Linked DNA regions of Macaca fascicularis. The protein of the gene in region 1 interacts with the protein of each later gene in a pairwise test. Links are inferred from orthologs where the notes say so. Each region holds a gene or a part of one and is shown on either strand. Other genes may lie near its edges.

Region 1 (3,641 bases):
ATGTTATTAGATTTATTTAAGAAAGAGACATAATCCACTTCCACATTCAATGTAACTCATCTTTTTGCTGATTTAAAAAACTGTTAATAGCCAATGCGAAACTGGAGTACTTCTTAAAAACTTCCTACAAATACTTCTTAAAAAGTACAGTTTTTCACCTATCCACTCAATAAAATTAATAGAATATTATCATTGTCCTTGTTAGATTGCTACTTAAAAGTTTCAAGTTGTAACAAATACTAGATTTTTAAAAAACCATAAAATGAACATAGTTTAACGGTTATGTTACAATATTTTCCCAAGGGCAAAGCAACATTTCTAGCATAATACATCATGACTATACAATGATTTGTTTGAAAAAAGCCAAATGGAAATGATAAGGCATATTTTTTTAGAGGTCAAATATTTTATATTTCCAGAGACACATGTCAGATGGTAAGACCAACTCTGAGGCTGAAGAGATAAAAACTTTTCCAAGTATAAATATATCTTCCTTTCTAGATAAAAATTTAACACAAAGGAGAGATTCATGACCACTTTAAATCATTTTAACTCAAAAGGAAAAAGTTAGTGATAAAGACAGGATAATTAATGTCTTCTATTTTTTACTGTAGCGCACAAAATGATTAGACTGGGAAAATAACAAAACTTACTTTTCTGATATCATCTAAGGTGTTAATCTCTGGAGACAAGCCACCATGTACACACAGGAACTGTTGGTTCATCAGGGCAGCCAAGGGAAGGCAGTCAAAGGCATCCATACAGGCGTCATATACGCGTTCTGAATACTTTATTTTACCTTTTAGAAGTGATTAAAAAAAATACTTATGATTTATAAGCAGGATAATTTCACTTAAATAGTTTCGGTTTTTTAAGAAGTTTTCTTGCCAGGACCATATTATTAACATAAAGGCACATACTGCAAAATTCCAAAATATAATTAAGATGTTTTGAAAGTAACATATTAATCTTTTATATCTAGCATTTCCTGTTTTTGTCATTCATTCATATTTTATAATTTTCATAACTTTTTGTATAGCAAGAGAATTTTTATATACATTCTGGCTATTTATATGCAGATGTCTCACCAAAAAAATGTAACTGAACAACTGGAAGACCAATAGAAAAACAGCCATAAAGCTGCTTGATATTCCTTAATGATTTTGTAGAAAAGCAGATGGCAAGACATTTTCTAAAGCTGCTTCTATCTCACTGCACATTGCTTTTCCCATGACTTACATCTAATGTTTGAAGAGGATAAGTCTTTATGCTCCACTGAATATAGGACTAAATGAAAGAGAAAAATATTGATATGTATAGAGAGATTCCCTGCTCTTCCATTTAATTGTATTTATATATAAAACAAAAATGTAAGATTTTATACCTTTGTAAGATTCAGCGAATAGTAAGAAAAATTGTAAGGGGGAAAAAGAAATTGAAAAAAGCACTCCACACTCCTACTGTCTATGTCTAAAGAATGACATCATCTTCAGTTTTATAAGATTCACTAGAAGCTAGTATTTATTTATTGGGTCCAAAACAGAGGCATAGGTTGAATTTGCCCTCCATTTGCGTTTCTTGAGTAATGCGAGATTAATGGGTAGAATTAGTGTTCCAAACAGTAGTATCCCTAAATCATTTGTTTCTTAGGATAAATTATATCAAATTTTAATTCAAATTTTTCAATCACTTTATAAAGAAGTTCTAATTTAAAAAGAAATTCTGAATTCTCATAAATGTCCATGGTTTGAAAGAAATATAGGATAAGATCAAAAAGTGTCACTTTAAGTTTTTGACTTTTAGGCAATGGATTATATTGTATGTATCTTAGTACTGATTAAAATTACTGTTTAGCGTATATAGTGTTAAAGAAAGGAGACTGAAGTATACTTACATTCTTGTTTAAATGTGAAATACTCTGTTAGATGTCTACATTCATGATTTCCACGAAGTAAAAACAGTGTTTTGGGGTAAAGAATTTTCAAGGCCCACAAATACAGCACACACTGGGAAAAGTAAAAATCATATGAAAATAAATATTTTTCCTTAATACCTATGTATTTCATTGCTCACATATCATAAAGACATGAATAAAATGTATTACCATGACCAAAAGTCCCCCAAAAGGCTGGACCTTGGTAGAGAAGATACTGACAATCAAACAGGAAACATTACTTTGGTAAAAAGCCAGGTCCATCTACACCTAAAACATACATACACACACTGAAGATCATATACCACAAGAAAACAATGGATTACATATAGTCAACAGAAGGAGAATTATGTGGCCTGAGGAGATCGGGAGTAAAAAAAAAAAAAAAAAAAAAAAAAAGGAAGAGGAAGAAACTTAACTAAAATATACTAGAAATAAAAATATGCTGGTGTAAAAGGATGAGAAGAAATACTGGTATATGTAGTGAGATTCCCTGACCACCTTCAGTTTAATCAAATATATACATAAATCAAAAACTTAAGATTTATATACCAAAGACACTGACAGAAAAGACAAGATGTTGGGAGAGAAGGAGGCAGGGAGCTAGAGATGAGGAAAAGTAATAGAAAATAGAGATGCAGTTCAAGTTAGGCTGAGCTTGTCAGTGCTTTGCCTCCTCATTTGGTCGTACTTTATCTTTTCAATCCTTCCATTTCTGTTACCTGATTTTTAAAAATAATTAGCTTTATAAAGAGAAGTCACTTTATTTTACTTATTAATCATTAATCATATTGTGCCAAAAGCTATGGGATACACTTCATATACCTTAAGACTCTCAACTTAGTTACTTGGGCATTGCAGTCTGTAAAAATGATGGTCAATTATGCATTCACCAAGTTGGGAATACATCTACATTTGACACAGTCTTCCTGGAATGAGCATTAAGTCAACTGAAATACTCAAGTATTAACATCAGTAATTTGTTATCATCAACTGACATTTGTTAAGAATCCATAGGCAACAGAAAACCATGCTTTGAAAAGCAAGTATGCTCTTTTATCCTCATAAAACCTGCATTCCCAAAGTGAAGCTAAGAAGATACAAAAACTACAAAAATATTGAGACAAGTCTAATTCTGGTTACTAAAATCTGAAACTAAAATCAGTGAGATTTATACATTAATAATTGGCTTTCCAATACAGTAGATATCCTGGATAATATCTATAGGGAAAAGCTGCTGACAATTTATTTGTAGTACTACTTGTAAAGAGTAATCATCTCTCTTAGTTTATATGATAATTTATGAAATGAGTGAAAACTAATTATGTTTGACTACACAGCCCAAGTTTTGGAGAAAATACTAATTATCAGAACAAATGTTTGTATTTTGTTGTTCAAGCAAGATATTATCTCTATGTAATTATGATTGAAGTAAACAAAATAATAGGTTGACATTAAATTATATATGTTACTTTAAGTTTCTAATTACCACTTTCTGATTATAGTTATTAGCTACAGTTCACATGACTAATGATATTAATATGTCTGAAAAGTTGACCAAATGGCCTGTACAAGCGATCCTTAAAGCATCATGATCTGTTGATGTATGTAAAGTTTCCTGTTACCTCAGTGAGCAGTCCGGTACCTTAATGAGTCTCTGCTACGGATTGGGTTTTATAGCTGTACTACGTGTTTCAATAAAAAGAGT
Region 2 (4,158 bases), on another chromosome or scaffold:
TCAGCTGAATGTATAAGATTCTACCAGGCATATTTTCCATATAATAATGAAATGACTGGAGAATAAACGTTGGGGTTTACTTTGGCCCTATTAAAGAGTTCAATGTGATTCTATTGTTTTATCCTCTTTGTTGAAACTTCATTTTGGATTACCCTGCAAGTCTGATATTATTAGTTCTTTAGTTGTGTTGTCTGTGTGAATTGCTTATGGCTCTAAAGTGCAAATTAAGCAAATAACAGGAAGAACAAAAAATGAAGTGCAGGATGAAAAACAAGCTAATGTATTTTTTATCACACTCAATAAATAATTTTAAAGCTGCAAAGGACTTTAGAGATTATTTGAGATTACTCAAATCCAGCCAGATGACAAAACTGAACTCCAGAGGGGAGCAATTGTCTTGTTAAAAGCCATGCAGCTAGATAAGGTCATAGCCAGAGTTAGAACTAGAGACTTTGACTCTCTAGTTTTTCCATTATAACATAAGGTTTCTGTTCTAAAAATGTATGTTCCATCAAGGAAGTGCTACTTTTCATACATATTCTTAGGAAAATTTAGCATTACTGTCATTTCCCACTCTTAAATTAGTTGTATAATTTTGACATTTTCATTTAAGTACTGTATTTGCTGTATCACATGTTTCCACCATAATCTGCACATAGTTGGAGGTCAGTAAGAGTAACAATAGCTGACATTTATTGAGCAATTCTTGGGTATTAGGCGGTGCACACACTTTTACATACATCTGTAATCCTCACCACAGTATTACAAAGATGGTGGTATCACCATCTACAGATGAAGCAATTTGGCTGAGATTAAGGCAGAGCTGTAACAGAGCTCAGATTAAACAAAAGATTGCTTGTTGCTTAAAGCTTATGTTCTGAAACTGGGCTTTAAGAGTTTCATCAGAAAATGGATTGTTTGGGGATACTAATCTGCAGTATATTCATTAGTAAAAAAATTTAAAAATTGATTAATGGTCATTTAATCACAAGGTACTTATCAACTCATAATTGAACCAAGAGTAGTCTGAGTTCTTGTTATTTGAAAACCAAGCTTTTGAAATTCTTTAAGCCGGGCACGGTGGCTCAAGCCTGTAATCCCAGCACTTTGGGAGGCTGAGACGGGCGGATCACAAGGTCAGGAGATCGAGACCATCCTGGCTAACACGGTGAAACCCCGTCTCTACTAAAAAATACAAAAAACTAGCCGGGCGAGGTGGCAGGCGCCTGTGGTCCCAGCTACTCCGGAGGCTGAGGCAGGAGAATGGCGTAAACCCGGGAGGCGGAGCTTGCAGTGAGCTGAGATCCGGCCACTGCACTCCAGCCTGGGCGACAGAGCCAGACTCAGTCTCAAAAAAAAAAAAAAAAAGAAATTCTTTATATTTTGCTTTTTCGGTTCAGGAACTAATTTAACAGCCAAAAATAGGTTGATAAACTATGCAATTGGCAAACTGTTAGATAATACAAAGGTGTATTGAAAATTTAATCCTCAGAATGGTATGATGGCACCAAAGAATGGAAATGGGAAGTGATTATCTAACAAAGATCCTATGAATTTTAGTGGGTGGATGCCCTAAAATAAGCAAAGGGACTCATTCTTTATATTGTTTTTATGTAAATCCTTCACTGAAGTTTCATGTGGGTAACCCATAATTTTATGAACTGTGGAAAGAACTGGAACCCTGAAAATCAGTTTATGATCTAAGTAAATATTCTCTTAGGTTGGGTGTTTCATACTGTATGCCTCTAACAGAAAGATAAAGTCATTCTAGAACAATGACGGAACTAAAATATGGACATTTGACAGTGTTTCTCCTCACATTTATGTTTCAGTGAGCACTAGAACCTCAGCTGATAACTCTGTTTAAATCTTCTCACCTCTTGTGAGTTTTCAACACCTGAGCACTTTTGTTAAGCAGAGGCTGTATTACCACATAATAGAAATATTGAAATGAGATGTTCAGGAGTGTATCATTTGAAACTAACGTGGATTGCGCAAAGACAATGGTTTGAGAAGCTCACTTGAATGTGTCTCACACACTAGAAATAAAACGAATGCCCAAACAGAAACTTAACTGAAGGGGGAAAATAATGCAGTCTGTAGACATTAAAACTTTGCAGAATGTCAGACTGCAAAGGATTCGCTCTTAACCAGCAAGGGTAGCTTTATCGCCTCAGGAAATCTTAAAGTCCCTGTGCTCATTTCCTGATAGAATTTCAAGTCTCATGTCACAGAAAACACTCCCTTTCCTTTTTCCCTTAAGCAGCAAAGAACATCCACTACCCGAGGAAAGCAATGCATCTTTCCCAGCACCAGATATGGACCACGAAGGTTCCTCCTGGAGGAAGGAATCTCGAATTCTGGCTTGACGCCCCTTATGGCAGGAGACAGAGCGCAGGATAAAGTACTCAAAAAGGAAAATGCCGGGGGCGTGGAACAGATAACCCAGCTTCAAGCTGTCTGCAGAATTATAATGTAATGGCCAGAAACCCAGAATCACATTTCGCAAAGAGGGATAAAGAAGGAAAAAAGCCACCGGCAACCCATGCTTCTAAGACAAGCTGTAACGCGAAGGTGATAGGTGGGCAGACCTGATGAGGGTCGTCCTGGCCGCGGATTCCTGCGGACAAGCGACCTCCCGCGTTCTTACTCCCAGCACCTCAGGGGGCTCACATCCCCCATGTCCAGTGGGCGCCTCTTGCCCACTCCGCGGTCCGCTGACCGGACACTGCCCCCGACCCTCCTCTCCAGCAGGCTCCCCGCCCTGCCTTTACTCACGTAAGGCGTCGGGGTCCTTGGCCAACACTGCTCCCAAGGTGGCGGCGCGCTCGCGGGGCCCGGCGCCCAGGCCTCCAGGGAGCCGAAGCAAGGCGCCCTCTGCAGAGCCCGCCGCCGGGTGCGCCCCCTCCCCACCGCGCGGGGACAGACAGCCCGCAGAGCCAATGCGAGCGGAGCGGAGCCGAGCGGGCGGGCAGGGGCGGGGCGACGCGGGAGGCGGGGGGCGGCACGGAAGCCGGGACCCACCTGCAGCAGCAGCCTGCCTGCCGCGGGGAAGGCCACCGTGCTCCGCCTGGGCGCCAATCTCCGCCGCCAGACTACATTATCGCCGAGGCGGGGACCGCGAGAGCCAGCCGAAGGCTCGGGGAGGGGTGGGGGGCGGAGGGAAGGCGGGGAGCGGCCAGGGCAATGAACCCCGCGTTTCTGAGACGCTAAATGGTGAGGTCCAGTTTCAAATTATAGACAGTCCTGTTACACATGTCCTCTCCTACCCCTCAGAATATTTAAAGACAAGGCAGACATCGCATTTTAAAAGCAGGATTCAAAACTGTGTATGGAATAGCGAGGTCATTTTTGTTTGAAGCGAAAATTACATATAGAAATGGAAACAGAAAGAAACCCGACTTTCTCAGGAGTGACTTGAGTATAAGATCATCGTAGGCCGGGCGCGGTGGCTCAAGGCTGTAATCCCAGCACTTTGGGAGGCGGAGACGGGCGGATCACGAGGTCAGGAGATTGAGACCATCCTGGCTAACACGGTGAAACCCCGTCTCTACTAAAAAATACAAAAAAAAAGTAGCCGGGCGAGGTGGTGGGCGCCTGTAGTCCCAGCTACTCGGGAGGCTGAGGCAGGAGAATGGCGTAAACCCGGGAGGCGGAGCTTGCAGTGAGCTGAGATCCGGCCACTGCACTCCAGCCTGGGCGACAGAGCGAGACTCCGTCTCAAAAAAAAAAAAAAAAAAAAAAGATCATCGTGGTTCATCGCTAAACAGGCTCTCAGACCTTTGTCTCCCAGTGGGAAGCAGGTGGAGGTGATTCGTGCAGAACTTTGGCCTGCAGGAGCAGCTGCATCTCTATGCGGACAAGGCGAGAAAGGCACGGCAACCCAGCTCCATCCATCTTATATCTTACATAGTTCCAAAAATAAGTTGAGGTAGCTTACAAGTTACCCATGATTCCCTTCAGGACATTCCCTATGAGGGCATTCCTGGGAGCTCCAGCTGTAAAATCCAGTAGGATCCATCACAATCCCAGCCTCCTCCTCAGGCCCTCACAGCATAGCATCCAGATGAAGAACCTGGTAAGGTGCAGTGAAGAACTACTGAAAAGCAGCCGCGTTCATCTCCTTTCTTCAAGAGGATCACGATCTTAGGGAGTGTA
Region 3 (4,431 bases), on another chromosome or scaffold:
TAAGGCGGGAGGATCATGAGGTCAGGAGTTTGAGGCCAGCCTGACCAACAGGGTGAAACCCCATATCTATTAAAAATACAAAAATTAGCCAGGCATGGTGGCATGCGCATGTAATCCCAGCTACTCAGGAGGCTGAGGCAGGAGAATCGCTTGAGCCTGGGAGGCAGAGGTTGCAGTGAGCCGAGATCACGCCACTGCACTCCAGCCTGGGCAACAGAGCAAGACTCCATCTGAAAAAACAACAAAAAAACCTCAAAAGAGTTATTATCTAAAGACCTGGAACCAATAGAAAGGAATGTCTGGGTTACCATAAGGGGTTTGGCTTGAGAGAGAATAGATTGTACATGTTTCTTATCAGACTTAAAGGAACTCTCCTATTAATCTGAAGGTCTGCACTGATGTTAATGCTGGTCAGCTGGGCCTGAATTTCAAAAAGGAAGAGAGTATAATGAGGCATGTCTGACCCCACTTCCCATCATGGCCTGAACTAGCTTTTCAGGTTAACTTTGGAATGCCCTTAGCCAAGGGGAGTGATCCACTCAGATGATTGAGAGACTTCAGGTTTTTCGTTTTGTGTGTGTTTTTTGTTTTTTTGTTTTTTGTTTTTTTTTGTTTTTGGTTTACAACCTCTTACTAATTTTGTTTGTTTGTTTTTTTGTTTTAGAGAAAGGAGTCTCACTATGTTGCCCAGGTTGGTCTCAAACTCCTGGCCTCAAGTGATGCTCTTGCCTCATCCTCCCAGCACACTGGGATCACAGGTGTGAGCCACTGTGCCTGGGCCCCATCATTACTTACTAATCTTTTTAATGATGGGGGATTATTCTCAGCAGGCCCAGAGGCCTAGCCTGGCTACCACTGTAGGTCAGAGCAATTCAGTACCATGGCTCAGGGTTCCAGCCCTGGCCTTGCCATTTTCTAGCCATGTGACCTTGCGTCAGTCACTTTGCCTTTACAAACTTCTGTTTCCTCATTTTTATTTTTTAATTTTTTGGGTTTTTTTTTTTTTTTTTTTTTTTTTTAAGAGACAGGGTCTCCCTCTGTTGCCCAGGCTGGAATGCAGTGGTGTGATCATAGCTCACTGTAGCCTCAACTTCTTAGGCTTAAGGAATCCTCTTATCTCAGCCTCCTAAGTAGTTGGGACTACAGGTATGCACCACACCCAGCTAATTTAAAAATTTGGTGTAGCTGGGCGGGGTGGGGGTGGGGGGCGTCTCACTATGTTGCCCAGGCTGGTCTCAAACTCCTGGCCTCAAGCAGTCCTCCTGCTTTGGCCTCCCAAAGTACTGCAATTACAGGCGTGAGCCACTGTGCCTGGCCCTGCTTCCTCATCTTTAAAACGGGGCTGACAGTATTTGGTTGGAGAGTTGGTCAGGGGATTAAAACAGAAAACGCAGGGTCTGGTGCACGAGGAGTGCTCGGTAAGCATGAAATATCACTGCTCTCTTTTTCAGTGTCCACTGACGCGACGCTCCCAAGTCTCTAGAGGTGACCTACACCTTGGGCTGGGAAAATACACCCTACGTGGGTCTGGGGTGCACCCCACCGGCATGGGAAGGCGCTTCCAGGGAGAGGAGATTAGGTGGTGAGCTTTCAGCCTCCTTGGGGCTGGCAGAGGGATTAAGTGTTTCCATAAATACACGGCCTCCTCCCGTCCGCAGGACCCGGTCCCCAGCGGTGGGGGCGCAGAACCCAAGGAGGGCGTGGCCTGCACAGGTGAGGGTGCTTTTTGGAGTTAACCCAGCCCAGGACAGGGGACTTCCCACAGCGTTGGGTGGGTGGGGTCTAGGCAGGAAACGCCGGAGCCTGTGACTCAGGGTATGCCTCTCAGAGCCTCAGTTTCCTCACCTGTACATTGAGGCGTTCGTTCCCCGAGGCCTGCACTACCTCCGAAGTGCCTTTGCCTCGCAGCCTTCCCTTCCTCCCTCTTCCTCCGGGCTCCAAAGTCTGTCCAGCCTGCACAGATTTTCCCTTGATCCCATCTGGGCCCCGCAGCCAGAGGCGGTCTGAGAGAAGTCCCAGCTGCCCTCGGACCCCGCCCTCCGCCTACCCCTGGGGGGAGCTGCGGGTGCCCCTTTTTACTGAGGCCTCCCCCAGTTCCGCCCGACCGCAGCCAGCCAGGAGAAGGCGCGCGTGCGTCCACACGGGTCGCCCTTTGCGGTTGCAAACATGCTTTGATGCCCTGGGAGCGCAGGGGGGCCCCTGAGTGAGGCGGTTCATAAATAATAGATTTGGAAATACTCGATAGAGGGGAAATGGTTCCTCGGGAGGCCTCCTGCCCCCGCCCCCCGCTGGGCTGCCTTCCAGCTCTCAGGAATGGCATTCTGGTCCATTCCCAAGGAACTCGTGACGGTGCGGGGTGGCCGGTGGGGAGTGGGGGCCAGAGGCTTCCGCGCGGGGACACACCCCCACCGCCGGTGCAAGTTGCACAGCGCCGCCAGAGCCGGGCCAAGTTTCCTAAAGCCTGTGTCTTCGCAGCAAAGTCTACAAGAAGTTGGGGGGATGCCCGGGCCCGCGTGGGTCCCCCACCGCCCCCCGAGCCGCGCCCCTGCAGCGGCTGGAGCTTGCGGGGCGTGGACGCCGCCCGGCAGGGGCCGCGTTGCTCGAGGAAGCCGGGCGTCCAGGAGAAGGGGCGGCGGGCACGAGGCGCGGGGCACTCACCGCTTCCTTCCTGGTGGGCTCACTGCGGAGCCGCGCCCGGGGCGCGCGAGGCCCGCCCGGGCGCTGGTGGTGGCGGCGGCGGTCTGGCTCGGGGGGCCGCGGCGACGAGCCTGCAAGAGAGAGCAGCGGGGGTCATGGCCCGGCCGGCGCTCGGGCCGCCGCGCGCCTCCCGCGGTCCCGCCCCGCTCCTGGAGGGCGGCGCTGACTGCAGCCGCCGGGCCGCGGGCGCCAGGATTGCACGGGCCGGGCGCGGGGCGGAGCGGGCCCGCCCGCCGTCTCCCTGGGGAGCGTGCCAGGACCCGCCCGGCGCCCTCGGCGGCGGTCCCGACCCCTCGCTGCTCGCCTGTTTCCTCCCGCTAGGCCCTGGGAGGTCCCGGGGCAAGTTTGGGCTCCCCACCGTGCGCCCCTCTCCGGGGCTGTGTGCCGGGCTCCCTGCGGCCGTGCACCCCAGCCCTGGGTGGTGAAAAGAGGCACCAGGGTTCCTCCCATACTGGAGGGCCCGGCTCCAGTGAACCTCGCTGCCCGGATGCGAAGAGGGGAGGCGAGGACAAGAAGCTCCCCCGCCCCATCTCGCCGTCTGCAGCCGCCCTCCTCTGGTGCAGGACCCCAGGCACTGGTATACAGTGCCCCTTCCCTGTGGCTCCGGCTGTGGGGGTTCCCTTTTGCTCTCCAAGCAAGCCTTTGCACCCCACTTTCGGGGTGAACCTGGGGTTGCACCCTACAAGGAGGTCAGGGCTTGCCTTCTGACCCCCCGGGAAGCTTCAGGTGTTTGGCGATGACCTTGATAAGCTTCAGGGAGAGGAATCGCCCAGCTCCCCACGGTGTGGACACAGAGGTCTTTTGGCCAGATGGGCTTCTTAGGAGGCACACTCCCTCCATCAGCCCTACCTGTGTGGAGGCCTCTGCAGACACCTGCCCAGTGGGGCAGGAGGAACAGAAAGATGCCTGCCCTGTGCTTTCCATGTCATTGTTACAAGCCTGTGGTACCCTCTCCACCCTACAAGCCCACGGTCTCCACACCCCGTGCCCTATATATTTCTGGAGGCTTAGAAGGGGAAACTGAGTCACGGAGCAGGAAAGTGACATTCCTTTGGTGAATGTGGCAAAGAGTTGCAGGAAATGGAGTCATCGTCCTAGCCGTGTGCTGTTGCTTGAGTCATTCCTAAAAATGGAGCGATCTTTAGATTCCCCTGACCTTATAGAGTCCAGACCGACAGGCAGGAAATGTATCATGTCCCCCACTCCCCCGCCTCTAACAAAGAGAAGGGGCAGGACGTTCCTTCCACTCGTCCACCCTCCAGAGGCAGGATGGGACCTGCTGCTGGCCGGTGCTGGGGTGGTGGGCGTGCCCATCAAAGCTGTTGCCCCAACTGCTGGGCTGGGGGAGGCCTGTGCAGGTGGCTGTCTGCTGAGGGCACATCCCTGGGGAGGGGCTAGAAAGCCAGGAAGAGCTCAGAGACTTCAGGGCAGGATGGGGAGGGGGCTCAACAAGCTGGCTGTGGGCAAATCATCATGCCTGGCTGTGTGCCGTCCCTTCGCTGGGTGTGGGGAGGCAGGGACCAGACCTAGGCTCCTGAGGAACTGAGATGGACAAGCCTAGGCAACTAAGAATGAAGGCTCCGAGACCCGACGGCACAGTGTCTCCCTCTGTCAGTCACCTCCCAGCCCAGCTGTGCCTGCCCTGGAGCCAGGTTCCCTTTCGTGATTGTGCAGATTTGATTCATATCTATCTCCCCTGCACTGCCAGTTCCTGCCCTTCCCAGGGACTCCCTG

The links. The genes of interacting proteins can lie anywhere in the genome.
Region 2: the proteins of PPP3CA (region 1) and AKAP5 interact in binary tests that used the Homo sapiens proteins (3 or more experiments, as listed by UniProt). The link is inferred for Macaca fascicularis from reciprocal best matches to the Homo sapiens genes PPP3CA and AKAP5.
Region 3: the proteins of PPP3CA (region 1) and C20H16orf74 interact in binary tests that used the Homo sapiens proteins (3 or more experiments, as listed by UniProt). The two-hybrid records come from large-scale screens. The link is inferred for Macaca fascicularis from reciprocal best matches to the Homo sapiens genes PPP3CA and C16orf74.

What each region holds. Positions count from the first base shown.
Region 1 is NC_088379.1:106,755,579-106,759,219, forward strand, and holds part of PPP3CA (protein phosphatase 3 catalytic subunit alpha), read right to left. Parts: intron 2,007-3,641; coding exon 1,895-2,006; intron 800-1,894; coding exon 654-799; intron 1-653. UniProt on the Homo sapiens protein: Calcium-dependent, calmodulin-stimulated protein phosphatase which plays an essential role in the transduction of intracellular Ca(2+)-mediated signals. Many of the substrates contain a PxIxIT motif and/or a LxVP motif.
Region 2 is NC_088381.1:132,280,783-132,284,940, reverse strand, and holds the start of AKAP5 (A-kinase anchor protein 5), read right to left. Parts: upstream 2,868-4,158; 5' UTR 2,779-2,867; intron 1-2,778. UniProt on the Homo sapiens protein: Multivalent scaffold protein that anchors the cAMP-dependent protein kinase/PKA to cytoskeletal and/or organelle-associated proteins, targeting the signal carried by cAMP to specific intracellular effectors.
Region 3 is NC_088394.1:81,645,564-81,649,994, forward strand, and holds the start of C20H16orf74 (uncharacterized protein C16orf74 homolog), read right to left. Parts: upstream 2,868-4,431; 5' UTR 2,659-2,867; intron 1,954-2,658; 5' UTR 1,846-1,953; intron 1,714-1,845; exon of another isoform or gene 1,658-1,713; intron 1-1,657.